Mus musculus: one gene and its partners. The protein of the gene in region 2 binds, or shares a complex with, the protein of the main gene of each other region. Links are inferred from orthologs where the notes say so. Each region holds a gene or a part of one and is shown on either strand. Other genes may lie near its edges. The genes, in order: Strip1, Strn3, Strip2, Ppp2ca, Ppp2r1a, Sike1 and Pdcd10.

The links.
Region 1: the proteins of Strn3 (region 2) and Strip1 are in contact, whole or in part, in a cryo-EM structure (PDB 7K36), measured with the Homo sapiens proteins. The link is inferred for Mus musculus from reciprocal best matches to the Homo sapiens genes STRN3 and STRIP1. Residues at the interface, in NP_001077362.1 of Homo sapiens: Thr64, Pro66, Gly67, Leu69, His70, Tyr71, Gln73, His74, Val88, Glu89, Ala91, Glu92, Ala95, Arg96, Phe99, Leu100, Glu103, Gly106, Gln107, Leu110, Asp113, Leu114; in NP_149079.2 of Homo sapiens: Arg441, Ile445, Tyr447, Leu449, Thr455, Val456, Val457, Gly458, Leu459, Arg491, Ser492, Pro493, Leu494, Ser495, Phe792, Leu793, Pro794, Val795, Asn797, Cys798, Leu799, Val802.
Region 3: Strn3 (region 2) and Strip2 share a complex: the UniProt entries of both Homo sapiens proteins name them as parts of the core of STRIPAK complex. The link is inferred for Mus musculus from reciprocal best matches to the Homo sapiens genes STRN3 and STRIP2.
Region 4: Strn3 (region 2) and Ppp2ca share a complex: the UniProt entries of both Homo sapiens proteins name them as parts of the core of STRIPAK complex. The link is inferred for Mus musculus from reciprocal best matches to the Homo sapiens genes STRN3 and PPP2CA.
Region 5: the proteins of Strn3 (region 2) and Ppp2r1a are in contact, whole or in part, in a crystal structure (PDB 6IUR), measured with the Homo sapiens proteins. The link is inferred for Mus musculus from reciprocal best matches to the Homo sapiens genes STRN3 and PPP2R1A. Residues at the interface, in NP_001077362.1 of Homo sapiens: Asn109, Leu110, Asp113, Arg116, Arg117, Lys119, Met120, Leu121, Tyr123, Ala124; in NP_055040.2 of Homo sapiens: Leu10, Pro12, Val15, Asp18, Glu19, Asn22, Leu27, Asn30, Ser31, Lys34, Leu35, Thr37, Ile38, Leu40, Ala41.
Region 6: the proteins of Strn3 (region 2) and Sike1 are in contact, whole or in part, in a crystal structure (PDB 6AKL), measured with the Homo sapiens proteins. The link is inferred for Mus musculus from reciprocal best matches to the Homo sapiens genes STRN3 and SIKE1. Residues at the interface, in NP_001077362.1 of Homo sapiens: Arg176, Leu179, Tyr182, Leu183, Val186, Tyr188; in NP_079349.2 of Homo sapiens: Glu96, His97, Ala100, Leu103, Ile104, Ser106, Lys107.
Region 7: Strn3 (region 2) and Pdcd10 share a complex: the UniProt entries of both Homo sapiens proteins name them as parts of the core of STRIPAK complex. The link is inferred for Mus musculus from reciprocal best matches to the Homo sapiens genes STRN3 and PDCD10.

What each region holds. Positions count from the first base shown.
Region 1 is NC_000069.6:107,617,950-107,622,345, reverse strand, and holds part of Strip1 (striatin-interacting protein 1), read left to right. Parts: intron 1-291; coding exon 292-474; intron 475-801; coding exon 802-1,019; intron 1,020-2,071; coding exon 2,072-2,137; intron 2,138-2,242; coding exon 2,243-2,306; intron 2,307-3,363; coding exon 3,364-3,435; intron 3,436-3,955; coding exon 3,956-4,030; intron 4,031-4,190; coding exon 4,191-4,288; intron 4,289-4,396. UniProt on the Homo sapiens protein: Plays a role in the regulation of cell morphology and cytoskeletal organization. Required in the cortical actin filament dynamics and cell shape. Part of the striatin-interacting phosphatase and kinase (STRIPAK) complexes.
Region 2 is NC_000078.6:51,649,792-51,654,187, forward strand, and holds part of Strn3 (striatin-3), read right to left. Parts: intron 3,055-4,396; coding exon 2,881-3,054; intron 440-2,880; coding exon 313-439; intron 1-312. UniProt on the Homo sapiens protein: Calmodulin-binding scaffolding protein which is the center of the striatin-interacting phosphatase and kinase (STRIPAK) complexes.
Region 3 is NC_000072.6:29,954,482-29,957,961, reverse strand, and holds part of Strip2 (striatin-interacting proteins 2), read right to left. Parts: intron 2,531-3,480; coding exon 2,326-2,530; intron 1,305-2,325; coding exon 1,054-1,304; 3' UTR 1-1,053. UniProt on the Homo sapiens protein: Plays a role in the regulation of cell morphology and cytoskeletal organization. Required in the control of cell shape. Calmodulin-binding scaffolding protein which is the center of the striatin-interacting phosphatase and kinase (STRIPAK) complexes.
Region 4 is NC_000077.6:52,118,868-52,123,263, forward strand, and holds the end of Ppp2ca (serine/threonine-protein phosphatase 2A catalytic subunit alpha isoform), read left to right. Parts: intron 1-275; coding exon 276-437; intron 438-2,065; coding exon 2,066-2,184; intron 2,185-3,034; coding exon 3,035-3,107; 3' UTR 3,108-3,882; downstream 3,883-4,396. UniProt on the Homo sapiens protein: Catalytic subunit of protein phosphatase 2A (PP2A), a serine/threonine phosphatase involved in the regulation of a wide variety of enzymes, signal transduction pathways, and cellular events.
Region 5 is NC_000083.6:20,943,728-20,948,723, reverse strand, and holds the start of Ppp2r1a (serine/threonine-protein phosphatase 2A 65 kDa regulatory subunit A alpha isoform), read right to left. Parts: upstream 3,271-4,996; 5' UTR 3,219-3,270; coding exon 3,141-3,218; intron 1-3,140. UniProt on the Homo sapiens protein: The PR65 subunit of protein phosphatase 2A serves as a scaffolding molecule to coordinate the assembly of the catalytic subunit and a variable regulatory B subunit.
Region 6 is NC_000069.6:103,001,030-103,004,763, reverse strand, and holds the end of Sike1 (suppressor of IKBKE 1), read right to left. Parts: intron 3,057-3,734; coding exon 2,955-3,056; 3' UTR 850-2,954; downstream 1-849.
Region 7 is NC_000069.6:75,518,154-75,522,549, forward strand, and holds part of Pdcd10 (programmed cell death protein 10), read right to left. Parts: intron 2,957-4,396; coding exon 2,878-2,956; intron 2,632-2,877; coding exon 2,549-2,631; intron 1-2,548. UniProt on the Homo sapiens protein: Promotes cell proliferation. Modulates apoptotic pathways. Increases mitogen-activated protein kinase activity and STK26 activity. Important for cell migration, and for normal structure and assembly of the Golgi complex.

The DNA of each region.
Region 1 (4,396 bases), on a different chromosome or scaffold from region 2:
GCCACCACCCCATGCTTAACTTGCTTCTTTTTAAAATTAGAGACTATGTCACATCCAGAGCTGTGTATCATGCGCCAGCTCCCATCAGCCAGTATTTCATTCTTTCCTTCATCCTTTTGCTCTTGTCCCTTATAGAGAACTCGGGACTCTCCTTAAAGACTTTAGTTTTTATCCAAGTGGCTGTATGGGTCTCTATAAAGGCTTGGGTTCTCGTGATGTCATGCATGCTTTTTAGAATAATGATACCAAAAAGGACATGGCGACCTAAGTTCTGCACCCCATTTTACGCAGTGCACGCTGGGCGGCTTTGAGGAGCTGCAGAGCATGAAGGCTGAGAAGCGCACTCTCCTGGGCCTTCCCCCTCTGCCTGAGGACAGCATCAAGGTCATCCGGAACATGAGGGCTGCCTCCCCACCAGCCTCTGCCTCAGACCTGATTGAGCAGCAGCAGAAGCGGGGCCGACGGGAGCACAAGGTGAGGCATCTCAGAGTACACACTCAGGGAGTGGGGTCGGGGCACATGATTCCTGGGCCAGCAGGTTATGAGAAGCCAGCTCCGATCAAGCTGATCAGGAGGCGTGCCTCCACAGCAGGGACACTGTCCCCAGCCTCAGCCCCAGTGTATAGCGGATACTTAACATCAGGGCAGCTTCTGAGGTTCTCTTCATTCTAGTCCTAAATCCTCCGTATTCCCTGCTGTTGTCAGGTCCCCATCTGAGATGGGTCTGTTCCATTTGAACTCTGTTCCTCGTCACCATCTCATTGGTTGGCTGCTTTTCTCAGCTCTTCTCTGTGCTTTCAGGCTCTGATAAAGCAGGACAATCTAGATGCCTTCAACGAGCGGGATCCCTATAAGGCTGACGACTCTCGGGAGGAGGAAGAGGAGAATGATGACGACAGCAGCCTGGAGGGGGAGGCTTTTCCCCTGGAGCGAGACGAGGTGATGCCTCCCCCACTACAGCACCCTCAGACTGACAGACTCACCTGCCCAAAAGGGCTCCCTTGGGCTCCCAAAGTTAGGTGAGTCTCAGTTCTAGAATATTCTTGAAGTGAGAGCCTTCATATCCTAGGTCAGTGTTGGCCTGGAGTCCTCTGCAAGGCTAAGATGACCTTAAGTTACCATGTGCTGTCCTGGGCACATCTGTGAGGACGGCCTTGCTGATGTCACACAGGATAGATAACCCTTGTGTGGTTCCTGTGTCAGTAATTTGAACTGGTCCAACTTGATAGTGAACAAAGGCAAGGAGAAAAAAATGAGTATTTAGGCAAACCTATCCCCATTCATCTTGGAGCTGTATGTGGCCTTTTATTTAAAAATGATAGATGGAGAATTTTTTAAAAACCCAATGTATTAAACAGTATGCTTGGGGGAGTTAATAGATGGGAAGGTAGCAGGAACTGTTAAAATGGTATATTGTAGCTGGGCATAGTGGCACACGCCTTTAATCCTAGCACTAGAGAGGCAGAGGCAGAGGCAGGTGGATGATGTCTGTGAGTTCCAGGCCAGTTGGTCTACAAAGCAAGTCCAGGACAACCAGGGCTACACAGAGAAACCTTGTTTTGAAAATAAAACCATCAAAAAAGAAGTATATTTGGTAGGCAGCAACTTAATAAAGAGATGTGTATATGAACTGATATAAAAGAGGGTATGTCCTGAGCTTTCTATGTTGTGTGAGAAGAATGTTTCTGTTGAGACAAGAAAATGACCTGTTTAAAGTTAGTAGCTTATGTCTCTTACACTTCATGGTGTTTAAATACTACTATTGTTTAAATAAGTGTTAAATACTACTATTGTTTAAATAAGTTGTGCTTTAAGTTTTATATATGTCCCTAATTTTGAGTCAACTGGCCATATGTATTATAGAAATATAAACATACTTTAATTGTATGAACCTAACAAAATTATGTAAAAAAACAAAGTAGTCAAAATTCAGGTTTTCCCACTTACTGTAAGAGACCTTTTCCTGTCTTGTAAACACCTGGAGATGCTTTGTCTGTTTGAACACAGGCCTGTGACTGGCACACCTTGAAGCAGTACTTGATAAAATCTGCCCCTCTTTCTTGCTTGGTAGAGAGAAAGACATTGAGATGTTCCTTGAATCCAGCCGCAGCAAGTTCATAGGCTACACTCTAGGAAGGTGAGTGTGACCTGAGGCCTCTTTGAAGTGCCCTTGCCTGGCCTTGGGGCAGCGGACCGGTGAGTGGCTCTCTGGGCTCAGCATAAGGCCTTCTTTATTCTCCAGTGACACCAACACAGTGGTGGGGCTGCCAAGGCCAATCCACGAAAGCATCAAGACATTGAAACAAGTAAGTGGCACTAAGGGAACGTTTGGCTTTGTTTGGTCCCAGGAGAATAAAGTGAGCCTGGGCCAAGGGAGAAGCCTTTCAGGGCTATTGTCTGCCAGCAAGAGCCTGGGAAGCATCTCTTCCTACGTCTGACTTCGGTTACAGATATGTGTGTCCCAGGCTTTAGAGTTCAGGGAGCCCACGAGGTATAAGGCAATTGAGAGGCACTGGCGGATGGATATGGTGCTGTCAGCTTTGCTGGTTATAGCATGGCTGGAGAGCAAGGCTTAAGAGCACCATAGTGGGTGTGCTCTAGCATACTCTATAAACCAAGCAAGCTCAGTTTCCCAGGCCCAGAGAGCTGGAGTGGAGGGCAGACAGGACCCAGGCTCTCAGCAGGCAGGCAGGTGGAGTCCCAGACCATCCTGTTTTCCTCTTGTGCTCACTGCTGAGAGGGAGCTGAGGGAGCTGTGGGTGTGAGGATTAGCGGAGAGACGACCCCAGGGGTCAGGAGGCTTTCCAGTGTGTCTAAACTGTAACATTTTAAAGTCCAGTTTTGAAATTGGTAGTACCAGGTGGTCTCTGCACTAGGCTTTTAAGAATACAGTTAGTTTTGCCTCTGATATCTTTCTCCTGTCATTTTTTAAAAAAGATTTTATTTATTATTATATGTAAGTATACTGTAGCTGTCTTTAGACACACCAGAGGAGAGCATCAGATCTTATTATGGATGGTTGTGAGCCACCATGTGGTTGCTGGGATTTGAACTCAGGACCTCTGGAAGAGCAGTCAGTGCTCTTAACCACTGAGCCATCTCTCCAGGCCCCCTCCTGTCGTTTTTGCTTCTGAAAGCCCTTTCCACTTTATTTTGCTTTTTTGCTAACCTCTATGGGCGCTTTTCACACAGGCTTTTTTGTCAGAAGTAGATTGCAGGTTTAAGTTAGGAATCTTTGTTGTGACTTAGCCCTCTCTCAGAAGGCCAAAATAAACTCTTGGGTCTTTGCCAGGTGAGGGGGGAGTCTGGCCAGAGAAGAGGGGTGTCTTTCCTCAGCACCTTCTTTCCTGCCTCTCTCTCCAGCACAAGTATACATCAATCGCAGAGGTCCAGGCACAGATGGAGGAGGAATACCTTCGCTCTCCTCTCTCAGGGGTGAGTTAAGAGACCACAAAGTCCCCAACTGCTCTCAGTCTCTGAGCCGGGCCTGGCCACAAGGCTGCTCCAGGAGTCGGCCTCTCCTTGAATAGATTGCCATCCATGTCTTCCTTTCAGTCTGTGAATGGCACCTTGAACATAAAACTCAATCTCTCTGTGCTTTGTTTCCTACCTGTAAAAGAAGACCAGCGCTAGACTAAGGCCGTCTCTCTCTCTTATCTACTTATTAATTTGAGATATCATCTATCTGTAGCCCAGATGGCCTCAAACACCTTTCCCAACCTTACCGGTGCTGGGTTACAAGTGTTTGCTAGCATGCATGACTGTGGTACCTCATGAAGAATTAGTTAAATGATTCCGGGTGACATTCTTGGGATGTCATATGTTTCAGAGCCTCCTGTCAGTATCACCAACATCACCCTTCACTTTGATACTTAGAGATTCTATTCCAGCCAGCTAGTAAACTGCCTCAGGGGACTGTAGCCTGAGCATGGGTTGTGTGACTTTTGTGTTAAAGGGAGAAGAGGAAGTTGAACAAGTTCCTGCAGAAACCCTCTATCAAGGCTTGCTCCCCAGCCTGCCTCAGTATATGGTGAGTTCTCTGTGTCTGAGACCGCGAAGGAGCACGGGCTGCTCTCCTTCCTTCAGCCTGCAAGGCTCCTGCCACCTGAGGACCCTCAGGAGTCCCACTTCTCAGGGCATCGTTGTGGTCCTAGGTTCTGATGCTCACCTGAGTGGTCTATTTTTCCCAGATTGCCCTTCTGAAGATCCTACTGGCAGCAGCTCCCACATCGAAAGCCAAAACAGACTCCATCAACATCCTGGCAGATGTTCTGCCCGAGGAGATGCCGTGAGTGTCAGGGCCATGAGTGGAACAGGTTGAAGCAAGGGTGGAAGGGTGGGGCCAGGAGTTTTCAGGTGAGTTGCCTTCCTTGACCCAGCTTTGCTGCAGGTGAAG
Region 2 (4,396 bases):
AGCTGAATAAATTCTTTCCTCCCCAACTTGCTTCTTGGCTATGATGTTTTGTGCAGGAATAGAAACCCTGACTAAAACAAAGTGCTACTTTAAAAAAAAAAAGAAAAAAGAAAAAAAAGCTTCAAGCCACTGGACAGTACTTTAAAAATAGACCTTCTCTCAGATCATTTAGTGAATAACATATGAAATCATAATTCCTGCCATATGTACATGAACGGAGTAGGAGCTGGCAGTTATTATAAACCTTTTAAGTACAACTAAAATAATTACTGTTCAAATCACTGTGTGGAGGAATATCGTTAACTCTCCTACTTTGTGCTTATGGATCCGAAGTTTGTCTTTTCCTTCTGGGATGCCCTCAATCATGTCATTTTCTTCTTCATCACTGTCATCAGCATTTTCTAAGAAATTGAATGTCTCGAGAACATCACCAGGGGGCCTGTAGAAAAGAGAAAAGATGATTCCAACTATTTCAAAGATTGACTCTGGTATTTCTTCCTGCTTTCTATTCCTATACCCTTCTTGTTATCTAGTGATACTACAAATTGAACCCAGGATGTCACACATGCTAGACAAGTGTTAAATCAATAATCCACATTCTGACCCTTCTAATTCCTAGTTTAAAACTACTTGAAGGTGGCATCTGCAATTCAAACACAACCTAATTTTTTGTTGTTGTGAGACAAGATCTTACATAATTCAGATTAGTCTCAACTCATTATGTTGATGAAAATAACCTTTAACTCCTGATCCTCCTTTCCCAGTAGGCTCCTGGTTCAAGATACCTTAATTATAATATAGTGCCTAAAACTTTTATTCTAGAGTATCTTTAAAGATTATTTGTGCTCTATAATTAAAATAAGGATTGTTCTGTGTTTAATAAGTTTCAACCAAAGCTTTTTGTCTACATTTTAGGTAAATGCTATAAGAAAATAAAATCTGGGGACGGAAAATGGCTCAGCAGGTAAGACTATAGGTAAGAGATCTTTCAGTAGACCTGAGTTTGGGTCCCAACACCCACATCAGGTGGCTTACAATGGTATGAACTTTGGCTCTAATGGATACAATGCCTTCTTTGAGCCTTTGCACGCACTTACAACTTATATGTACATAACCTCCCATCTCACACACACACACACCCCAGCATAATTAAAAATAAGTCTTTAAAAAGAAAAATAATCTACTAAGATTAAATGATCAAACATGCTATTATTTCTGAAAAATATTTAAAAAACAAGTTAGCAATTTTTTTAATATTTACAACCACTTATACTTTAGCCTAAATATTGGAAGGCTAAATAGTAAAACACAAAAGCTAAATTTATTAGAACTGCCCATATTTAAAATTATAAAGCATATATTACACAAGATATACCACTCTGGGGAGCAGAGGAAGTTCTGAGTAGATGTACGTTGTTGACATGAGCGATCCAGGCTTGGTGTGGTCATATGCATGATTTTGATCAACCCAGTGGTTGGGTGGCAGAAGCAGGAAGATCTTTGAGTTATAGGCCAGCCAGAGCCACCTAAAGAACCTTGTCTCAAAAATACAAAAAGAAAAAAAAAAAGACCCGAGTGACTAAACCTCAGCCCCATGGGGGTTGCAAACCCTTTACAGGATGAGGCTCAATGTGGTAGCAAAACCTTCCTCTGATCCAATTGTGAATGCTAACAGTTTGTGTAGAAATGCCCATAGTAGCTTTCTAACCCCCAAACCCAGAAATGAAGGTCCTGAAGACTGCTCGCTCCCCTGTGAGGACTGCTCCCCTGTGGGGACTGCTCCTTACCAAGACTAGCTAACCTCCTTATTCAGCTGTACACCATAACCCCCACTTCCTTGTTCAGTTTTATATAATAAACACACTAAGCTTTCTGGGTGATGTACTTCTCCATCAGAGTGTCCAGGAAGCCATCCCAGTTTTCCTGTGTATATGTGTCCAATGTCTGTAATTTCTTCATTCCCTTCCATTATCTAGTTAGGGTTCCTAAACCCGAGAGGTACCAATCCATCTTATAAATCTCCCCCCCCCCGACATTTTTTATTAGATATTTTCTTCATTTACATTTCAAATGCTATCCCAAAAGTTCCCTATACTCTCCCCCGCCCCGCTCCCCTACCCACTCACTCCCACTTCTTGGCCCTGGTGTTCCCCTATACTGAGGCATATAAAGTTTGCTAGACCAAGGGGCCTCTCTTCCCAATGATGGCTGACTAGGCCATCTTCTGATACATATGCAGCTAGAGACACAAGCTCTGGGGGATACTGGGTAGTTCATATTGTTGTTCCACCTATAGGGTTGCAGACCACTTCAGCTCCTTGAATACTTTCTCTAGCTCCTCCATTGGGGACCCTGTGTTCCATCCTATAGATGACTGTGAGCATCAATTTTTTTTATACAGCAAATAAGTATCTTTAATCTATTAAAATGTTTTCAAGTATTTCAAAACTACTCCAGTAACAGCTAATAACAATAATCTATTTTACTACTATATATAAAAAAGTGGCTTTGATAGATTCATTTAATATCTAACAATAAATGCAACTATAGAAAATATAGGGCTGGTGAGATGGCTCAGTGGGTTAGAGCACCCGACTGCTCTTCCGAAGGTCCAGAGTTCAAGTCCCAGCAACCACATGGTGGCTCACAACCATCCGTAACAAGATCTGACCCTCTCTTCTGGAGTGTCTGAGGACGGCTACAATGTACTTACATATAATAAATAAATAAATAAATCTTAAAAAAAAAAAAAAAAACCTGGCTCATCTTAAAAAAAAAAAAAAGGAAAGAAAATGAGACTACCAATGAAAAGCCACTGTTGTATCACTGATTTTGACTTCCATAAGTTAAATGATGTTAATCAACAAATACAAATCATACCTTTTGATTTCTTGTCCTTTTTGCTTAGGAGATTCACCACCATTCAAGATCTGTTCTAAATTCTTTGCTTCTACAGATCCATTTGGCTCTGAATTAGACAGTCCAAGTAATGACCTTACCCGTTGAGATCGTACATCTAATATTGTATCTGTGTATCCTACTTCCTGAAGATACCTATCAAGAGAAAATTAAATGCTAAAATTCAACATATTGTTAACATCTGCCACCTTCAAATCATATTAAAAATTAAAGAAAAAAAGCCACAATCACACAAATTAACTTTTTCTTTGTCTCAATAGCTTCGTTATAGCCTAATTCCAGGTCTAAGAGAATGATGTCAACTTTAAGTTCCAGGACATCCTATACCCTCCCCTCTGACTTATGTAGGCAATCAGCATATATGTGGTGCACATGTATACATCCAGACAAAACTCATATACATAAAACAATCTTTTTTAAAAAATGAATTAAGGCAGGTGTGGTGGTGCACACCTTTGATCCCAGTACTCAGGATGCAGAGGCAGCCTAATCTATAGGCGTTCCAGGATAGCCAGAGAATCCTGTCTTGAAGAGAGGAGAGGGAGGGGGAGGGGGAGGGGGAGGGGAAGGGGAGGGGAGAGAAGAGAAGAGAAGAGAAGAGAAGAGAAGAGAAGAGAAGAGAAGAGAAGAGAAGAGAAGAGAAGGGAAGAGGGAGGAGGGGAAGGGGAGGGGAGAGAAGAGAAGAGAAGAGAAAGGAAGAGGGAGGAGGGGAAGGGGAGGGGAGAGTATGACTAACTACCATTGAGTAAGAGCCAATTATCTCAATACCTAAAAAAGCCTCAGTGTTGAAACGTTTTTGAGATACATAAACACAGGTTACATGCCTTTATATAGACACATATAAGTATCTATTTAAAGAATAGATATGTAAATTTATACACATACATGTAAGCACAAATACACAATTTTCACATGTTCAAGGTATGTGAAAGAATAAGTTCTCAGCCAGGGATTGATAGATGGACTAATCCCCCCTCAAGGATCTCAGATTCCAGACCATTCCTCCAAAGTTCACTCATCTAAACCAAATACTTAATAGGCTATGACTTTAATTTCACCAGGGTTATCAGTAGGATACAAGTAGCAAAATTTCCAACTATAAGAAAAAGAACCTGGGCTGGAGAGATGACTCAGGGGTTAAGAGCACTGACTGCTCTGCCAGAGGTCCTGAGTTCAATTCCCAGCAACCACATGGTGGCTCACAACCATCTGTAATTGGATGGGATGCCCTCTTCTGGGGTGTCTGAAGACAGCAACATTGTACTCATATAAATTAAATAAATCTTAAAAAAGAAAAAAAGAAAAGAAAAAAGAAAAAGAACTACTAGATTAAAAAAAAAAAAAACAATAAACAGAAATTGCCATAGAGTCATCATCTCTAGTACATCAACAAAGTAGTATCAAAAGTTTCCTCAAAAAAAAAAAATTTTTTTTAAAGATTTATTTATTTATTATATGTAAGTACACTGTAGCTGTC
Region 3 (3,480 bases), on a different chromosome or scaffold from region 2:
CACTGTACATCAGGAGGGACTACCAGGCAGAACCCCAGAGTCCTCTCAAAATGACTCTGGACTCCCCGAATCTTTGGAAGCCTTCATGAGTCTTCCACTCTCTTCTGGGTACCGACGCAGAGATGGCATGTCACAGGATTCCGGACTCCCTGGCATAGGCTCTTTTCGTTAATGTTTTTTCAACTTCCTTCTTGGGGCAGGGGGCTGTTGGGTTTTACGTCTGTAGATGGTACATGAGTAATAAAGCTGGCATTCATAGGAAAAAACTGAAGTACTTTGTAAAAAGTCTAAGCTATTCCTAGAGAAGGCCATATTATATTAATTGTGGTTCTTTTCAAATGATGAAGCATTCAATGTGCTATAGAAAATACACATGAAATAATTTTTTACATTGAACACAGAGCTCTTAAGGAAAAAAAAAACCCTACACAGTATGCTGTTCTGGAACATGCAGTGTTTTGGAAACAGTCATCCTTTATAAAGATGCAGTGCTCTCAAACCATCTTAGAACCAATGATGATTTTATGAAGAGATGAGCATCAACATTTGAAGTGTGAAATACAGTCTAAAGTTGGTTTTGCTAAATGATACGTCCCAGGCATTTTGAGTGGGCAAGAAGACAAGGCTTATTTTATGGCCTGTCCCTATCCCCCTGCTGGAGATGAATGTCGTGGGTCAAATGCCATGACAAACTTCCTTTCACTATTGTGGCTGACAAAAGTGAGCAGGGTTCTAGGCAAGATTAAAGCAGGTTTCCAAGAGTCTGTCCAGGTCTGATCCATCGGGAGATTTGAAGGCCAACTAGGCACCTAGCTGAGCCTAGGGCAAGTTGATCCATTTGCTTTGACTCAGGACCCCAGTCTTGCAACCACCTTTGAGTCTATTGGTATCCAGAATAGCCCTGAACTATGCTGGGTGTCTGTCTGTGCTGGATGCTGGGCTGGAACTGCCCTTGACACACATTCCTAGAGTTCAGTATGAAGGCTGAGTGGGCAGGACAGGCAAAGCACATTACTGGAGCCAACCTCCGTCCGCTGCGTTGCTGACAAGAGCTCAGTGATTCTGGAGCAGCTCCTCCCAGCAGATGGGCTGTGAGAACACCTCTCTCTCCAGCCAGAGCTCATAGGAATAATGGAAATCTTCAGGCAGATCTAGCCTCTGCCCCAGCACGCTCTGCAAGCAGTTATCCACAGGTGAGAATTCTGAGTCCTGAGGCTTATCATATCGGCGGCTGTTAAAAGCCTCAATGTTGGCCCTCAGGGTACATTCTTCTGCTTGGAAGTCCCATGGTCTGGCATCGATGTCTGACATAGGAAGAGAGGAAGAAAAAGATACATACAACTCAGGATGTTACTCCCCTCCGCAGAGCATGGTCTATGGGTTCCTAACAGTGAAACTGCTCAAAATGTTCTTTTAAGAGCTATATATAAAGTAGACACATAGCATGCCTACAGGTTTTTAAAGTATTCATATGCTCACATATAAACTAACATATACAGAAACGATCTTTGGCAGATTAGAAACTGCTGAGAAAGGAGATAAGAGGGCTTAGTATTGTAATCTCTTGCTTATTTCTTTCTAGTAATTTATTTATTTATTTATTTATTTATTTTTTTAAAGATTTATTTATTTATTATATGTAAGTACACTGTAGCTGTCCTCAGATACTCCAGAAGAGGGCATCAGATTTCGTTACGGATGGTTGTGAGCCACCATGTGGTTGCTGGGATTTGAACTCGGGACCTTCAGAAGAGCAGTCGGTGCTCTTAACCACTGAGCCATCTCGCCAGCCCCGTAATTTATTATAATTGTTAAGAGCAATTAAATTCCTCTTATTGAGCTTTCCATAGTGGGTGAAAAGAGGAGATGGAAGCAGAACATGAAGAGTCAGTCTGGACCAACTCAGCCGGGCATGGTGGTGCATGCCTTCAGTCTTAGCATTTGGAGGGCAGATGCAGGCAGATCTCCTGAGTCTGAGGTCAGCCTAGTCTATATAGCAAGTTCTAGGACAGCCAGGGCTACATAGCGAGACTATGTCTCAAATAAAACAAAACAACAAAGCTAAAACAAAAACTATAAGGAGGCAAACATTTTACCACATCATAAAGTTTATATCATATTTAGGGGCTCAGGAGATGGCAAAGGGACCTAACTTCGGATCATGAGACCTACATAAAAGCCAGGTGCAGCAGTATGCATTTATAACCACGGTGCTGCAGGAGCAGAGACAGGAGAATCCCGGGAGCTCAGTGGCCAGTCAGCCTAGCCAATTAAGGAGCTCCACGTTCACTAAGAACCCCTACCATCTACTTTGGGAATACTCACCATTCCCATAAGCCCAGTCATCATTCATGCGGTGGCGCACTTTCTGGTAAATGGCTGACATGGTCTTCATGTTGCTTTTTCTCCACTGGCGCCCAAGGTACTTGGTCTGTATCTTTAGTAGCTTCAGGACATAAAGTTGTAGCATGGCCTGTTTGACTTTGAGAGCTCGCTTTAAGATTGGAGCTGACTTAAACACCACTAACATCTGCCCAATGAAACAGGGACGGGGTAACAAATAGTCCATCATCATGTGAAGTTTCTTAGGATTTCCAACTCAGACCATATAAACAAGCCTGGCTATCCTAAGAGACCCAAGTATCTTGAATTGAATGAAACATAAAATTCAATTTTTATGTCCAGATTTCTAAATACCAATAGCATATTACTGAGTGACTGTAAATGAGATACCTATTTTGTCTGCCAATAACTTAAGTCCATGAACTTTAAATACTCTACGCAAGAGTTAGTCTTCAACAATACAGAAGACCTGTATAAGGAGTTTGAGGATAGCCTGGGGTGAGTGAAACACTGTCTAACACACACACACACACACACACACACACACACACACACACACACACACATTAAGCTACACACAATGGCACATGCCTGCAATCACAATATTCAGAGGCTAATCATGAGTTCAAAGCCAGTTTTGTGATATACAACAAAACCAAGAACTAATTCATGTAAAGTTTATAATATTCACACTAGAAAGACTGCTTAGCATCTAAGAACACTTGTTGCTCTTCTAGAGGACCTGGGTTCTATTCCCAGCATCCTCATCATAGTTCACAACCATCCGTAACTCCATTTCCATAGGATCCAATGCCTTCTTCTGACCTCTGTGGGTACCAAGTACAGAGTGGTACACATATATACATGAAGGCAAAACACAAATAAAATGGATAAATCTAAAAAATTTAAAAATTATAATATATAATTAAAAACAAAGATTATCTGACATATATACCATTTCCACTATTACTAGTTTCTTGTGTATCATTGGAGATAATTTCTTTTTTTTGAGACGGGGTTTCTCTGTGTAGTCTTGGCTGTCCTAAACCTTGCTCTGTTGCCAGGCTGGCTTCAAACTCCTGAGTGCTGGGATTAAAGGCACGGGCCATCACCACCTGGTCTTTTTGTTGTTTTCTT
Region 4 (4,396 bases), on a different chromosome or scaffold from region 2:
CTTACCATTGCTCATTAGACGTTTAGAAGCCTTCCTGGTCGTCACCACTAGCCCATCTGTCTAATAATAAAACTCAGATACACGGGCAGATGGGGCAAGTTACTGAGTGCAGTGTGCCTTGTGGGAATTGATTTTCATTTCAGAGATACCTTTACTGCAAAAGTTCAGCACACATACTAAGAATGTGATTTTTGTAGAGTGTTGCTTCTGGTGAATTATCAAATGAAGAATTCCACATTTGGAAGTCAGTTTAATAACTTATACCTGCTTTTTAGGGTCCAATGTGTGACTTGCTGTGGTCAGATCCAGATGACCGTGGTGGCTGGGGGATATCTCCTCGGGGAGCTGGTTATACCTTTGGCCAAGATATTTCTGAGACATTTAATCATGCCAATGGCCTCACGTTGGTGTCCAGAGCTCACCAGCTGGTGATGGAGGTATGTTCTTTTCTTGAAACCTGTCAAATTAACTGTAGTAACTGAAGGAAAGGAGTTTGACACTGATGCTGTCAGCAAGATGTCCTTTATTCCTAGAGTCTGCCATGGGAGCTAAACCCTCTTCAGTAGATGGACAGTCAGAGGAAAGTCAGATCCATGGCTGATAGTGGGCATCCACTTAATGACTCGGAGGGACTTGGGATTAATGATGAAAGGATGAAGATGCAGAGCGAATGAGGAAGGGTATAATATATCGCAGTGGTTTATTTCACATTATCTAGTTTGTTTCTTTATAGGAAAAGAAAGAAACATCAAAATGTTGATGCCCTTTAGATAACTGGCTTGTAGATGATTTGAAAGAAGCCTTTCCTCTGGTAGGGGTCTTACCTTAAAACATTGACTGCCATACTTTGAGAATGAGATGAGAACATGGAGCATTCAAACTATGGCAGTGGGCAATCTCTTATTCTATAAGAGTTTGTTGTCAGTACTGATGGTCAGCCAAGTATAGTGGTGCATGCCTCATTAGTTCATTAGTTAGCTAGTTTGCTGGTTGGTTAGTTATTTAGGTGGCAGCTAAACTGCCTTGTAATCCAGACTAGCCTAGACTGTACAGTGAGACCCAAAAAATAGTTCATTTTAAAATCAAGTTTAAGGTTTGTCTTAGGGCTTTATTGCTATGAACAGACATCATGACCAAGGCAACTCTTATAAGGACAACATTTAATTGAGGCTGGATTACAGATTCAGAGGTTCAGTCTGTTATCATCAAGGCAGGAACATGGCAACATCCAGGCAGGCATGGGGCAGGAGGAGCTCAGAGTTCTACATCTTCATCTGAAGGCTGCTAGCAGAATACTGGCTTCCAGGAAGCTAGGATGAGATCTTATAGTTCACACCTACTCCAAGAGGGCCACACATAATAGTGCCACTTCCTGGCCCAAGCATACACAAACCATCACAAGGTCATGTCAATGAAAGACAGTATCTACATTTGGTGATGGGTAATATTTAAGTTGATTTGGTTGGTTGGTTTGTTGGTTTTTGCGGGATATGTTCGCCATGTAGATTAGGCTGTTCTCCATGCAGATTAGGCTCCATGTAGATTCACCTGCCTCTGCCTCCTGGGATTGAAAATGTGTACCACCATGCCTGGCTTGTTTTTCAATGCTTAAGACAAAACAAAAACAGGGCTGGAGAGATGGCTCAGCAGTTAAGATCACTGACTGCTCTTCCAGAGGTCCTGAGTTCAATTCCCAGCAACCACATGGTGGCTCACAACCATCTGTAATGGGATCTGATGCCCTCTGCTGGTGTGTCTGAAGATTGCAACAGTGTACTTACATAAAACAAGTAAATAAATCTTTTTCTAAAAAAGTATTTTTTTGGCAACACAGAGAAACCCTGTCTCAAAAAACCCCCAAAAACAAACAAACAAAAGTATTTTGTTTGTTTGTTTTAGCAACACATTGTTAAATGTACATTTTATAGGTTATGAGAAATACAGAAAATTAACCCCTTTGGAGTTTTTCTATCTTAATGTATTTTTCTGTTTTAATGGGTTCATATTTATGTAGGTTAGTAAGGTTTGTTTGGTTTTTTTTTTTTTTCCTGCCTCTTTTTTACAGGGATATAACTGGTGCCATGACCGGAACGTAGTAACAATTTTCAGTGCTCCAAACTATTGCTATCGTTGTGGTAACCAAGCTGCAATCATGGAACTTGACGACACTCTTAAGTATTCTTTGTAAGTATCTACTCTGAGCTAGCTTTGTGTTGTCCAGCCCTGCTTAAACCAAAGCATAGGTTGTTGACTTTTGACTAAATTTTTGTGGGAATGAACCTACACATAATAGAAACTAGCACTAGTGTCTCTTATTTGGTATGAATAACTTGTATGAGTTACTAGGTCTTCAACCTATAGTCCTAATTTATAGTCCACCATTGAGGGGAAGCTGAGGCAGGAACTAGAAGCAGCTCCTCAAATAACATCTACAGCCTAGATGTAATGTTACCTTCCACCAGAGGCAGGAGGAACTCTGTGAGTGAGGCCAGCTTGGTCTATATACAGAGTTTCAGGGGCTATATCAAGAAGCCATGACTCAAACAAAACAAAGCAGAGAGAAGTGTGTGGGCCCTTGCTTGTTGCTTATGCTCAATTAGCTTTCTTCATTCTTAAACAGATGAAGGCTCTCTGCCTAGGGAATGGTAACAGCCACGGTGGGCGTGGTGTTCTTACATCAATTAAGATGGTCTTCCACAGACATGCTCACAGGTCAACCTGATTTATATAAGTCTAGTCCTCAGTTAGAACTGTTCCCAGGTAATGGTTCTCTTGTGTCTGGTTAACAGCTAAAACTAACCATGTGTTTGTAGCCCAAGCTGGTCTAGAACTGTGATTTTCTTGCCTCAGTTTCCCAAGTGGTAATGTTAGAGCTGTGCCCCAATATACCTAGGTCTATTAAAGTTGGGTTCTATTCTTTTAAAATGTACTGAAGTTGGATGGGGAAGAAAATTTGAAAATTTGGAAGATGTTAGTTTTGTTAACTACATGGTATCTTCTGGAGTAGTAACACTGAGTCTTCCTTGTTTTTCAGCTTGCAGTTTGACCCAGCACCTCGTAGAGGCGAGCCACATGTCACTCGTCGTACCCCAGACTACTTCCTGTAATGAAAATGTAAACTTGTACAGTATTGCCATGAACCGTATATTGACCTAATGGAAATGGGAAGAGCAACAGTAACTCCAAAGTGTCAGAAAATAGTTAACATTCAAAAACTTGTTTTCACACGGACCAAAAGATGTGCCATATAAAATACAAAGCCTCTTGTCATCAACAGCCGTGACCACTTTAGAATGAACCAGTTCATTGCATGCTGACGCGACATTGTTGGTCAAGAATCCAGTTTCTGGCATAGCGCTATTTGTAGTTACTTTTGCTTTCTTGAGAGACTGCAGATATAGGATTAAACATTAACACCCGTGAGTCCAGTTGACTTCACTTAGCTGTAGCTTACTCAGCATGACTGTAGATGAGGATAGCAAACAATCATTGGAGCTTAATGAACATTTTTAAATAAGTACCAAGGCCTCCCCTCTTGTTGTGTTTCTTTCAGGGATACCATTAATTTAATTGTATGATTTGTCTGCACTCAGTTTCTCCCCTTCTCAAATCTCAGCCCCGCGTTGTTCTTTGTTACTGTCAGAAAACCTGGTGAGTTGTTTTGAACAGAACTGTTTCCCTCCTGTAAGATGATGTTACTGCACAAGTCACCGCAGTGTTTTCATAATAAACTTGAGAACTGAGAAAGTCAGGTTTGAATTGTATCAGTGGGCACGACTGGTGCTGTTTATTAACAAGATAAATCTATTGATCAATTTCAGAATTTGTAGAATCCCAGGTAAAGAAAAATAAAGATCAAGGCCACTGTGTAACCTCTCTGGCAACTCCTTGGTGTTCTTCAGAAGAACTTGGGGACCTGTTTGTCTGACATACCGCAGTTTGTCTTGTTGCTGGCCTGCGCTTGTGAAAGGAAATCTGTGCTGTTTTAGTGGGACTTGGTTGTTAAACCATAGAACTTGAGAGTTATGTTTTTAGGATTTTACTTAAAATGGCATGTTTTCAGGTAGAACTTAACAAACTAAATGATGTGTCTAATTAGTGTAGTTTCTGGTTACAAATATATTGCTATGTATATTTCATGGACTCTTTAAAATGATTGACAGAACGGTAAGTTCTTAACCAACATTTGTATATTTCTTGTCAAGTCATGTGATCTTAGAGTTAGTTAAACTTGTCTGGATAAGGTGTTAGAACCTTAGCTTGTGTTCCTTACCTGGTAAAGCAGTGAAGCCGAGTAGAAGCAATGCTGATGTGGGCTGATGTTTGCGCCAGGTCCGAGAATGGTGCCTGAGTGCCAAGCTCAGCGAGTAATGGGTTTCCCTTCTATTCTTTGACT
Region 5 (4,996 bases), on a different chromosome or scaffold from region 2:
GAGCTACAGAAAGATAAAACAAAAACAAAAACAAAACAAAACAAACAAAAACCCCACAAATATAGCAAACACTCCCTAGATGCTGGCAGTTAGCCTGCAGGTGCTCAGTGCACTGCTGAGTATCCAGAAAAGAACATGTTCTTTAAATTGCTGGTAAATGTTCTCAGCTTCACAGGCCAGTCTCTAAATCACTCAACTTGGGCTCACAGCACAACAGCTGCAATGGGAAGGAACCACTAGGTAAACAAACAAACATGTCTTTTATTCCAGCAAAGCTTTACTTAATAAAGCTACTGGCATGGCTTTCACTCAAGCAAAACTTTACTTGCAAAAGCTGGCTGTGGATGGATATGGTACTAAGGCTGTCTTTTGCTGACCTGTATACTAGTTTTCAACATTCTTCCCTCAATTTCTTACATGCCTGTGCTCCTCTTCCATCTGAACTATGGGAAATGCATGGGCCAGGGTGACAACTGGTGAGCAGTGAGCAGCAGCCCTAAGGACAATGGATGGTATCAGGGAGCAACCACCATTCCATTCATAATCTTCATGCCAGCAATAATAGCATCATGGATCATCTATAAAGTGTTCCCTGTATACTCAGGTAGTTTATTCATACTCTGCTCTGAGGTTTTCTAGAAAAACCATATTAACAGGCGAGGATGCTGATGCAAAACAAGAAGCACTTGATAGAAAGCAGTGAGTTCCCAAGCAGAACCTAAGCAGTCTGACTATCTGCACCGTCACTGTGTCTAGGAGTAGGGGTCCTGAACACCACGCTTCCTGTCCATTTGTGGACAGTTCTTTCACTCTACTCTTTCTGTCAACAGTGTGCATTGTTTTGTTCAGGAAGATGGCACTGTGAATGTTGGAGTAAAGTGGCAGAAAGCTGTGTAGCCCTGTTGCCTAATTCAAGGCTATGCTGTCATGAGGTCATTTTCATCCAGCAAGACCTCTGACAGACTTCTGATCTCCAGAAACATAATAAAACTTTATGTTGTTGTATACTAAACTTATGGTGACTTGTTACAGGATCCTGACAAAATTGGCACACTGACCTAAGCTAGACAAGTTCCTTATTGTCTCTAGGTGAACATTTCATCCAACAGCTTCCCTCAACCTTAGCACTAAAATCTTTGTTTCCTACCTAAGAAAGATGTCCTATATACTGCAATCATGCTTAACAGCATTCATGACTTCAACCTACTAAAAGCAGCAACAATCTCCCAGTTGTGGCAACCAAACCATCCCTAGACATTACTAAACACCCTTGGAGCCAAAAAACTAGAACTATAGCCATTGCGCGCATACACACACACACACACACACACACACACACACACTCTCTCTCTCTCTCTATCTGGATTCATCTCCAACTTTTTAAACTTTACATCCTAGAAGGAGCCTCCCTCAACTAGCCTAATTCCTCACCCAACTGTCTAGAGGTTACACACTCTGCCCAGAATCTAATGGCTCCTTCAACAAGCAGGTACTGTTTCAAATTTCAACAAGACTTTCCCATGCTTACTCTACATTTCTTATTTTCTCCTTAAAATTTTCCATAGTCAACATAATGCCTATTTATCTGTGACCACTCACTAAAAGGTTAATTCCTTTAAGGCAAGTTTTGTTCTTTTGTTCTTCAACTATCCAAAATACCACTCTGAAGAAAGGCCCAGCAAACACTTGCTGATTCACTCTTTCAACATTGACAAGTCTCATTCTTTCTTACATGTGGTAATATGCAGATTTAGTTCTGTTTACCTGTTTCACATCTAGCCTTTGTACAGCAACCAGACTGCTTCTTTCTTGATACAGTGTCACCAGGCTAGCCTTGACACTGCCTTTGCCTCCTGAGTGCTGGGATTGCTAGCATGCATGCACCACTATACCAAGCTCTGGTCTCCTTTATGACCCAATAACATTCCTCATGCTTTGCATGTGTTTACAGAACATATGCAAATAAATTCATTCAGTATACCCAAAACCAGATTATTATTCCCATTTAACAGAAGAGAAACACAGACTGCCTGAGTCAATTTGCAAAAATTGCAAGATCCAGGAGTACAAATCCAGTCTTGCCAACAATGGAACCAGAGTCACACATAAATACGTAAGACTTAGAGGATAGGCCCAGGTTCAGGAAGGTGACTGAGTGCAGCATGAACAATTCTATATAAAAGGAAAAGCAGAGGGCTGTAGCACAGTGCCACAATAGCCACACCCCCAAAATAATTGCTAACATTTATAGAGCCTTTACATACAGCCAGTTTCATTTTACTACTTTTCCTCGGCCACCGAGGGAAACCAGGACTATTATTAGCCGCTATTTGTAGAAAACAGAAGCCAGGGGCGATGAAATAATGTGCACACAAGGTCATCCTCAGGTGAGAGGATGCGGCCTTGAGGTCTGACCTCTTTTTCAAATCCAAAGCAGTCCGACAACTCTGGGGTCCTGGCTCATTCTTCTCCCATGAACCAGAACTATCAACTCTCTTGGCAGGCCGGCTTGGGACCAGGTCGGAGAACAGGTGGGTCTGTGCACGTTACCCACCCCAGCTACGGCTAGTTAAATCTCAGGAGAGGATACTTTCACCGCCTCCTTCCTCCTCCTTCAGGAGAGCTAACCCAAAATACAAGGTGGAGGTCGGTGAAGAATGGACAGAAATCTCGGTATCAGTCCCCAATCCCAATATCAGTCCCCACTCCTTCCAGTTAAAACGAAAACATTAAAAGCAATGGGAACTCTACCCGGGTCGCCAGGACCCCTGAGGGTTTCTACTCAGCAGGTCACGCGCCCCCGCCGATTCTCTACAAAGAGCCATTCTGAGTCCGCCGCCAATCACCGACTGGCAGGCGGCAACAAGACCGCCACCCTATCTCGGGCCGCCCAGGCCCAGATCTGGGGCGGCCGCGCGCACTCAGGTAGGACCCTCGAGGCTTGCCCTCCGCTTGGCCGGGCACCCAATGAAGGCTGCCATCTCATCGAACCTTGCTATTAAGAAAGATGAGACCTGAATTCTGATTGGCTGCCGCTGCTTTCCGCCACTCCCGGAGAACCCGGAGCCATCGCTCCCACATTCCGCGAAGATCCCCGTCCCCGATCTCCCCCACACACTCTAACGGAAGGATCCCCGTACCTGAACGTCCTCATTGCGGAGTTCATCTATGAGCACCGCAATAGGATAGAGCGAATCGTCACCGTCGGCAGCTGCCATCTTGGCTCCCTGGCGTTTCTATCAGGCAGCAGCGAGCTCCAGGCGGAATCCGGGATCGGGCGGGGCGGTGCCGGGGAAAGGACGCAAAGCGGACGTGGGGGCGCCCGAGCCGCCCTACAGGGGCCGTCCCGCCGCCATTGCCGCACAAGCTCGCGTCTGTTTGGTCTGAACCAACCAAGTCCCGCCTACTTCTCATTCACCATTGGCCGGACGAATGAGATGTTTTTCCCGAAGGACGAGAGGAACCGGAAGTGAAGTATCTTAGTGACCAAGATTGTGCCCGCCTACGTCGCTGCTAGCAACCACGGGAACAAGCAGGTCTAGCTGCCAATGAGAGTCGAGGGTGGGAGGTGGCTAAGATGGCCCCTTGGGGAGAGGCGGAGAAGACTTAAGCTGGAGTCTTGGGAGCTATGCGTGACGTAATGAAGGACATGCTTGTCTGGTTCTGCTATACCGGTCTCTGTAAAGGAGGGACTCCTAAGTAGGGAGATTTGCCTTGCTTGGTTTCTAGGATGCGGTTCTGGGGCTCTTGGCGTTCAAGGCTTTATTACCCACCCCCCTTACCCGGAAGAAATAGAGCGGCCAGAGCGAGTCTTCATCCTGCCGGGGAGCTTCTAGGTAGCTAGTAAAAAATGAACAAGGTCGAAAGTTTTTTGAGGATGGACCTCTGCCTCATAATGAGCTTGGGCGCTGTGATTCACTTAGAAGGCGAATATAAAACTATCACAATCCTTTCTCCTTAAGGTTGAAAATATGAAAGGGAAGAAGGTGGGCATAGCGGGGTTGTTAGATGCTATCAAGGTTGTTAAAGCGTGGCTATTTCTATACTTGATTTTTGTTTTCTCCTTTCGACTCCCCTCGCCTCTCCCCTCCTCCATCATCCTCCCCCCCACACCTCCATTCCTCCCTTCCCCCTTCTTCCTCTCCAATTAGAGAGAAAATTGAGAAAGCACCCTCACAGAGAGTGGAAATAAACAAACAAACAAACAAACAACCCCCCCCCCCTCACAGAGAGTAGGCGTTCCTAAGTAATGATGCAGATCACATATCTCTGGCCCTGAATAGGAAACACTTGGTCTTGTGATAACGAACAGAAGGCATAGCCATGTGTGAAAGTGCACATGCTTTCAATCATGAAACTCAGGAAGCAAAAACTTGTCATCTTTCTGAGATTGACATCATCTTGGTCTACATAGTGACCTCCGGGCCAGTCAAAGGTCTATGGTGTAACCCTCAAAAGACAGCCATACCATTGCCTCATCCCATAAGAGTTAATCCAAATGGTCTGGCTTAGAAACTTCAGTTTATACGCTACCTCACTAAAAGAGTTTGGCACAATGGTACCATTGTCTATTCTTTGTGAGTGTATTTTCTTTTATGATCTCTCTGGCCATTCTTCAGTTTCTTTCCTTTATATGAACTCTTCTATACTGTACTTTATGTGTTTCTGAAACCAATCAACAGAAAACTGGGGAACTCAGGAGAGGCTATGGAGAGGAATTCCAAACAGTGCCTTCTTGGACCATTTTTGATTTAACAGATCTTTTGGAAAAAACATCCTCTTGCCTGTCTCCTCTCCTTTCAGATATAGTAAAGTTTTCTAGTCTTACTTTGAACTGCCCTAGGTTAAACATTGTAGGAAGCACTGGATTTCTTAACAAGTACAAGAAGAGGGTAAGTTTAATTAATTAGTACTAGGTTGTGATTGGTAATGGGCTTACTGGCATTTCTAATCAATTTATGTGAATTATGAAAACTAAAAAATAAGGTTTTATTTA
Region 6 (3,734 bases), on a different chromosome or scaffold from region 2:
TGCCTTAACTTGGTCCTTAAGAAATGTGCTGAAGAGTGCCTGAGTGTGATTCTTGGCTCCACTTTGGACAAATTAGAACCTTCTAGTATGTATGGAACTGTAAAGAACTGAAGCGGGGATGCTGTGTCAGCTGACACAGAAAACCCCTTAGTATAAGGAAGTAACCATTGCAGGACCCCCTGGACTTCGATTCTGCAGCTGTTTTCTATGTTTTCTCCTAGCACCACCCCTCCCCCACCCCCTTCCCTGGTCAACTTTTAGATTCTCAAATAACACAGCCCTTTCTGTGCTGTATCCTACACTTACATCTGATGTAACACACTGCATCAAAATTATCTGCACAACATTTTGTTTAGTTTTTTGAGACAGGGTCTCTTGTAGCCCAGGCTGGTTTTGAATTTACTATGTAGCCAAGAATGACCTTGGATTTCTGCTCTTCCTGCTTCTGCTCCAAATTCTGGGATTACAGGCATGTGCCACCATGCCCAATTTATCTGCTGCTATCGGGCAGGCAGCATAGAGGGGAATAGCGCTGCTATATCCCACCCCTCTGTAATATCCCTTTACCACTCTTCTCATTTTAAAGTCGGTTTGTTTTTAACTCCTAGTGAAATAATTTGCACAGAACATCATACACAATTTATCTGTTTGTGTGTTGTAGGTCAGAAGGTAATTTTTAGAAGTTGGTTCTCTCCTTCCCTCATGTGGGTTCTGAGGAATTGAACTCAGGCCATCTGACTTCATGGTAAGCACTTAGACCTGCTGAGCCATCTCCTAGCCCTAACAGACATGTTCTTAAACCGGTACTGCCGTTTTCTGGAATGATTATTAAGATGTAAATTCCAGATTCCATCCATAAATTTCTATTTCATTAGGTGCATTTTAAGAAACATGGAAATAGACTTCAGTGGTAAATTATACATTCAGGACTTCTGCAATGAATAGGTTGTTAATGTGCTTTTCAAAGGTTTATACTGCTGAATATATTGAATAATTGCAAGCTGCTTATGACATCTATGTCATGAACACTTGCCATGGTTGCTATGTATGTGAATATGTGAAAAAAATCTCCTATACTTCTTTTTGCTTTTTTCAAGACAGGGTCTCCCTGTGTAGTCTCCTGGGACTCACTAGGTAAACCTGCATGTCCTCGAATTCAAGAGATGTGCCTCTGCCTTCCAAGTGCTGGGATTGCAGGTGTACATCGCCACTGCTCAGCTAAACTTCCTTTTTTTTTCCAGCTCAACTTCTTAGACTCATTTCTCAGTAAAATGAGCAAATCTTCTCAAAAAGGTTTTTATTAGTTAATATAATTTCATACTAAAATTTTATACACTAAATACTTCCACCCATTGCAAGAGATATTAGCATCTTCACACAAGTGTGAAACATTCTTTCTCCATTCAATGTGCTAGCTCTGCAATGCCTTCACAGCACTAACACCAGGCAGAATTTATACGACACAGGGCACCGAAAGCTTGCTCTACCCTCAGGACTGCAATGGAGAGATTCCTCTGAAAGCTAGATGCAAAGACCTTTGTAGTGAGTGCTACGGGAACAGAAGGCAGATAAAGAAAGGGACACCATGCTCACTGCTGAAATAGACTGACTGATAATGCTCTCACTGTGATGGGACCTGCTGTGACAGCTGACAAGTGGTAAAGGAACCCACCCCTGAATGGGTTTGTGGAGTACACACTTGGGGCCCTTAGGGGAAACATCAAGGGGAGCAGCTGGAGTGAAAGTTAACATGGGAACAAAAACCAAAGTCCATCTGGGCAAACAGTGCAAAAGGAATTATTTATAAACCTGACATATGAGCAAACCAAGATGAGAAGGAACTGACAGGGAGCTATTAGAATCTCAGGTTGTTCTTGATTGCCTGAATGCATGGCATCAGGAATGTGGTAACTTTCTGTGAGTAATAAAATGCTTCCATGAGAAAACCCAGCAGATGGAAAGACAGCAAAGTACTGATGCCGGTCTAAACCATCCCAGTGGTGCTGCTCTGCACAGCACAGCACAGCACAGCTGTGTGTCCATGAAAGTGCCTAGGAGCTAGGAACCTGTGAGTGAGGTATGTGTGTGTGTGTGTGTGTGTGTGTGTGTGTGTGTGTGTATGTGTATGTCTCATACAAGGCAACTACCTAAGCCGAAGACTCCTTAGGCAGACAGAATGGAAAACTACTTGGTCAAATAAATAAAAGCTATTTTTGGCATTTAAGTCCAATGTACATGTACAGTCATGTACATCTAATAGCTCCCTGTGCATGATGGGGCAGGCCCAAGTTCCTCAGCACTCTCTGAATGACTGTGGATCCTTGAGGAGGAGGAGGAGCAACGCGAACCCGGCTTACTTGTTTTCAAGCGTATTTCCTGGGGACTAATAGATTCTCTCAAATTAAGAGCAAAGACACCTGACCACAAAGTGCCAACTCCTAGCACCGGAGAGGATCAAACCCCATGGATGAGCGACGTCACTCAGAGACTCTGCCAATCTGCTTCTTTGAAGTCATGCTACTTTTACAAGTGGAAGAAAAAAAAAATCTAGGTTTACACCAAATATGTATTTTTAAAAAGTTAAATCTTTGAAAAACTCTTAGAAGGAATTTTTATAATCCTATATAAAATAAAATCCTGGCTTATAATAAAAGTGTTCAGTGTTTCCAAGCTGTGAAAAACAACATTGAACTGCAGGTAACAGTTTATAGAGATTCCGGACTAGAGTGACAAATGTCATCTCTGTCCCAGCAATGGGGGACTTGTCTAGTTTCACTAGTACACCCCAAACTAGTTAGTGGACAATGAATACCAAGTGGCAATTCTAAACTGCCACCCCATACCTCTACCCAACACTAAGTCAAGTCTGCGGCAGGACTCTTGGACACGGCAGGAGAGGAGGGCACGGCTTCTCGCTCTGACGGGCAAGCTGTAGCCAGCCTTCGGAAGTCCAGTTACTTGATGGTCTGAGAGGCAGGAGCCACAGAGCTTTCTTTTCCAACCTGCAGAGATTCACTGCTGATGGACAGTAACTCTCGAAGTTCCTTATTTTCAAGCTGGGGAGAAAAGATATTTCCTGTGTTTTAATTGTTAAACTATGTCAGAACATACTATTTTGGCCCAGAAAGAGGAAAAAAAAATTTTTTTTTGGCTTTTCTTTTTTAAGATTTATTTATTATTATACATAAGTACACTGTAGCTGTCTTCAGATGTGCCAGAAGAGGGCATCAGATCTCATTATGGGTGGTTGTGAGCCACCATGTGGTTGCTGGAATTTGAACTCAGGACCTTCGGAAGAGCGGTCAAGTGCTCCTATCTGCTGAGCCATCTCACCAGCCCTTTTTTTGGTTTTTCGAGACAGGGTTTCTCTGTATAGCCCTGGCTGTCCTGGAACTCACTCTGTAGACCAGGTTGGCCTTGAACTCAGAAATCCACCTGCCTCTGCCTTTCAAGTGCTGGGATTAAAGGTGTGCGTCACCATTGCTCGCTTAAAAAATTGTTTTTTAAAGACAAAGTCCTACTGAGTGGAGTTTGCTGGCCTAGAAATTGATATGCAGATCACACTGACCTTAAACAGATACCTGCCTGACCTTGCCTCCAGATTACTAGAGGTATGCTCTGCCACACCTGGACTTTAAACGATTAAGCCTTTTCATTTTAGATTTATTTCAATATCTTATGTGTATGAATGTTTTACCTCCATGGATGTCTGTGCATCATGTGCATAGCTGGTA
Region 7 (4,396 bases), on a different chromosome or scaffold from region 2:
CAACAAATACAAAAGTATGGTTTTAACCGATGCTTTAATTACAAACATGGAGCCTGTAAGGGTTTGAGCTAGGTCATGTGCATATACTTTATGGTGGTATAGCTTGTTCTTGTGGGGCTCCCAACAATGGAAGGGGGTTGTCTCTGATTCTTTTGCCTGCACATGGGATCCTTTTCCTCCTACTGAGTTGTCATGTCCAGATATGATATGAGGGTCCATCCCAGTCTTCTCTATCTTGTTAGTTTGGTAGATATCCCTTGAGAGGCCAGATAAGTCCTGCACTCTTGTGTTCTTTCTCTGCCTCTCTCTCTTCCCCCTTTGGAAGGGAAGCAGAGGAGTACTTGATCTGGGGGAGGGGAGAGGTTGGGGGAGGGACCAGGAGGAGTGGAAGGAGAGAAAACTGTGAGAAGATGTAATGTATGAGAGAAGGGGACAAAGCTACTTTAAGAGCCAGGATGTTCTCTCAGAGGCTCATGGTTCCCTCATTATACAGCCTTATCAGTCCCTCATTGTACCAGGGATGAAGGTTGGATCTTCACCAGTTGAGTCAATGAGAATTTGTCTCCCTAGTACAAGATGTCTTCAAAGATTTTGCTCCACTAACAATTTTCCATTTGGAGTAAGCAAGTACAAAATTCACAACATTTAAACAAAAAAAAAAAAAAATGAATTTAGAGCTGTAGAGATTGGAAAAATAGTAGCAAGCTTAATATCAATATATACAAATTTTAGATTAGTGAACTATAAACTCCTGCCTTTCAACATTCATTGTACATGATTAATTAAAGTTAGAAATTATTATACCCTTATCTAAATCATACCTTCGGCTATTTGGGCTTAGTTTATTAAACTATGTCACAAAACATTTTCCCTAAACAATTTGAATTTGCATATGGAACATAAAACTATTAATGTAACTATCTTTAATTTGTAATATAAATGAAAATATTTATATTTGCCTGAACATTAAAACTGATTGTAAAAGTTTTATATCCATGTACTTTTAAAATATTTTATACTAATATCACAAATGTGTGGTTTTATATGGGATCTTAAAACTTCAAGGTTTGCGGTGCCTGTTTGGAGTATTTTCTAGCTTTATATATATACATAAGTATATGTCTTTTTCAATATAATTTCTAGCATCTTAACTAAAGTCCAGTCAACAACCTGTATGAAAGCACATTGCAGATGTCATAACCCAGACTATCTGTTTAAATACTGAGTACATATACAAAACACAATCCCTAGATCTACACAGGGCTCTATAGGAAGTTTTGTATAAACTTAAAACTAATGTTCCCAATGATGGCTGACTAGGCCATCTTCTGCTACATATGCAGCTAGAGACACGAGCTCTGGGGGTACTGGTTAGTTCATATTGTTGTTTCTCCAATAGGATGAATACCCTTCAGCTCCTTGGGTACTTTCTCTAGCTCTTGCAAACTTTATATGCCTCAGTACAGGGGAACACCAGGGCCAAGAAGTGGGAGTGGGTGGGTAGGGGAGTGCGTGGGGGGCGGAGGAGGGTATGGGGGACTTTTGGGATAGCATTTGAAATGTAAAATAAGAAAATACCTAATTTAAAAAACAACAACAACAACAAAAAAACCCCTAATGTTCCACTTACAATTTCCATATCATTTTCTTAAATAGTCATTTGCTTTTGTCTTCTTTCCAATCTTTTTAGTGTTCTCTTATTTAGCTATTTTATCTTCCCTTTAGCAATATGGATCTCTAGCCTGGGATCACTCGAAAGCCACCTGGACACATTTACAAAACATCTAGACCATGTTCCTATTCAAGTCAAGGTAGAAATCTCTCAAAGTGGAACTGTGGCAATGAGCTTTTTAAAAACTGACCCAGGATGGTTTTAATATGGAGAGAGGATTGCGAATTATTGTTATTAAATCCTATCCTCTGTGTACTAGTTTTTCAAGGGGCTGGTACCTTTGACAGCAACTGAACAATCTTAAAAAAATGTTCAATTATTGAACCCCAATAGTAGACCCATACCATCAGATGCTACTAAAGTTTAAGAAAAAAAAATTAGGGCTGGTACAAGCCAGTAAGTTAAGATTTACTTTTTATCTTTTAATATCAAAAAAGGAAAACACCAAATGCCCCCCTCTCCCCTCCCAAAAAAAACAAACCAACCAACCACATTCAGGTGAAGACTGTACAATTTACATTTCATTATCAGGTCCTTTTCAGAAAGTGTCAAAAATCCTTACTGTAGGTTTTAAGTTGTGGTAAGAACAGTAGCCACTCTCCAATCCTCTGCCTTTGTTAATCAGATGACTCGACTCTTAACAATGGAAGACAGAGCTTAGCTGACAGAGCTTTTCCGTTTTAATTTTTACATTCAATTTTCTCCATCTCCCGGCCCCTTTCACCAAGTGGGTGTGGAATTAAATTCAGGCTGTGAGGCCAGGCTGTGAAAGCCTTTACCCATGGAGACCTCTCACTGGCCCAAATAACCTGGTTCCAATATCCCAGAAAAACATTCATTTAATTAGAGCAGAGAAGTATAAATGACAATACTTACTTGCCATCTTTAAAATAAGTCTTCAGAGTGTCACTGAAACTTTTGGAGTATTTTACAAATTCTTTCTTTTGGTGTTCAAGTGCCTATGTTTATAAAAAGAAAAACAGGCTAAGACAGAAGAAGAGCACACAAGGCCAAGTCAAAGGGCAATGGCAACAATGAATATGGCATGATTTATAGTCCGTAGGTCTGAGGAGTGTTTACTCACATAACCACACAACATTTACATCTGAGGACAAATGCAATGAGACAATTTCCACAAGCCAAACCCTTTAGTGCAAAGGTCATAAAACAACTGCCCATATGTACAATGGCAACAAGCAACTTACCCTGCGGTTCTGGTACTGATATTTTTTGAAGACATTATTCACTGTATCAAGTAGTTCTTTTATTGCACTAGCTATATCCCTGTTTGGAAAGGAACAGCAACAACAAAAATCTTTAAAATCATCTACATTAAGAAATATATATTTATAATTATGAATCATGATATGCCACTCCACTTCCCCCACTGATACCTGCCAGAGTGGCCTGTAGCTCAGAAACTGCCATGGATTACCTATCCTGCCTCTGCCTCAGTGCTGGGATTAAAGGTATGCACCACATGGTTGGCTATTCATATATCTATATCCATGTATCTTTTTGTTTTGTTTCTGAGATATGTTCTCAAGTAACCAGGCTAGCTTTGAACTCTACATGTAACCAAAAGCTTTGAGCTTTTCTGATCCTCTTGGCTCCATATCCAGAGTGCAATCATCCCAAGTGTAGTGCACTGTTGGGGATTGGATCTTGCTTTTTATGCATGCAAGGCACACTGCTCTCTACCAACTGAGGCATGCCTTGCCAGACCCTCAAAGTGCTCATTTGCATACTTAATTCTCTCCGATCATGAGGTACTTCAGCTCATCCTGCCATAGTAATGCCTTTTTTCCCTAAGCATTATGATGAATATATACCACCTCTTATATGTAAACCATTGACATTAGGCTAGAACAAAAAACGTTCCCTACTGAAGTAGAATTATTTTCACACAGAAATGTCACCTGGCCACTTGCTAGCATCGCAGCTCCTATTTAAGAGTAGCAGCCTAAATCATGTAAGGACCTCTCTATCTTCAAGCAATTTCAATATTTTACACTGCTGTGAAGGGCATAGTCAATCATATTCAGCAAAATAGTGTCAGCAGAATTTGCTGTGTTTTTGAGAAAAACTATAGTTGTAACCAATATAAAATGTTAAATCTCTACATATGAAAGTTTCAATAAAATCATATTGAGCTAATTAAAATAAATATAAAGAAGGTAACAGTGAACACATAGATCACATATGTTAGTATTCTATAAAAAAGTAATTTTTAACTTGTTGTCATGGCTAATGCGAAAGATGTGAATGCAACAGAAATTTTTGGACAGGGCAGGTCAAGCGAGCAGCCCAGAAACAGACTGCTTAACTGCAAAGAACAGCAAGACAGGAAGAAGAGAAAAGGCTTTGCTAGAGTCTATCTGTATCTGCTTTTAAGAACTGGGAATCTGAAAAGTGAGCATGATGACAGGCTGCTGAATCAGTCTCTAGTGAGGCTTTCCTCAGATACAGCAAATTAAAGAGCTATCACAAATAACAAAATATCTGCACAAAGCTAGGGCAATCAGGTGAGTGACTAGAGAGTCTGCTTTTAGCTACACTTAAAGAGGTCGGAAGGAAAGAATTGCCATCATCCTTGTCTTTCAGCTTCAAGAAGCCCAGTACAGAGCAAGGTACCTTGCAGTTAGAGGAAAAGAAAATTGTTCATGCCCCAAGGATGCAGCAGCTTTAGCAAAGTCACAGTGGAACCCAGGGCTAGACAAAGTC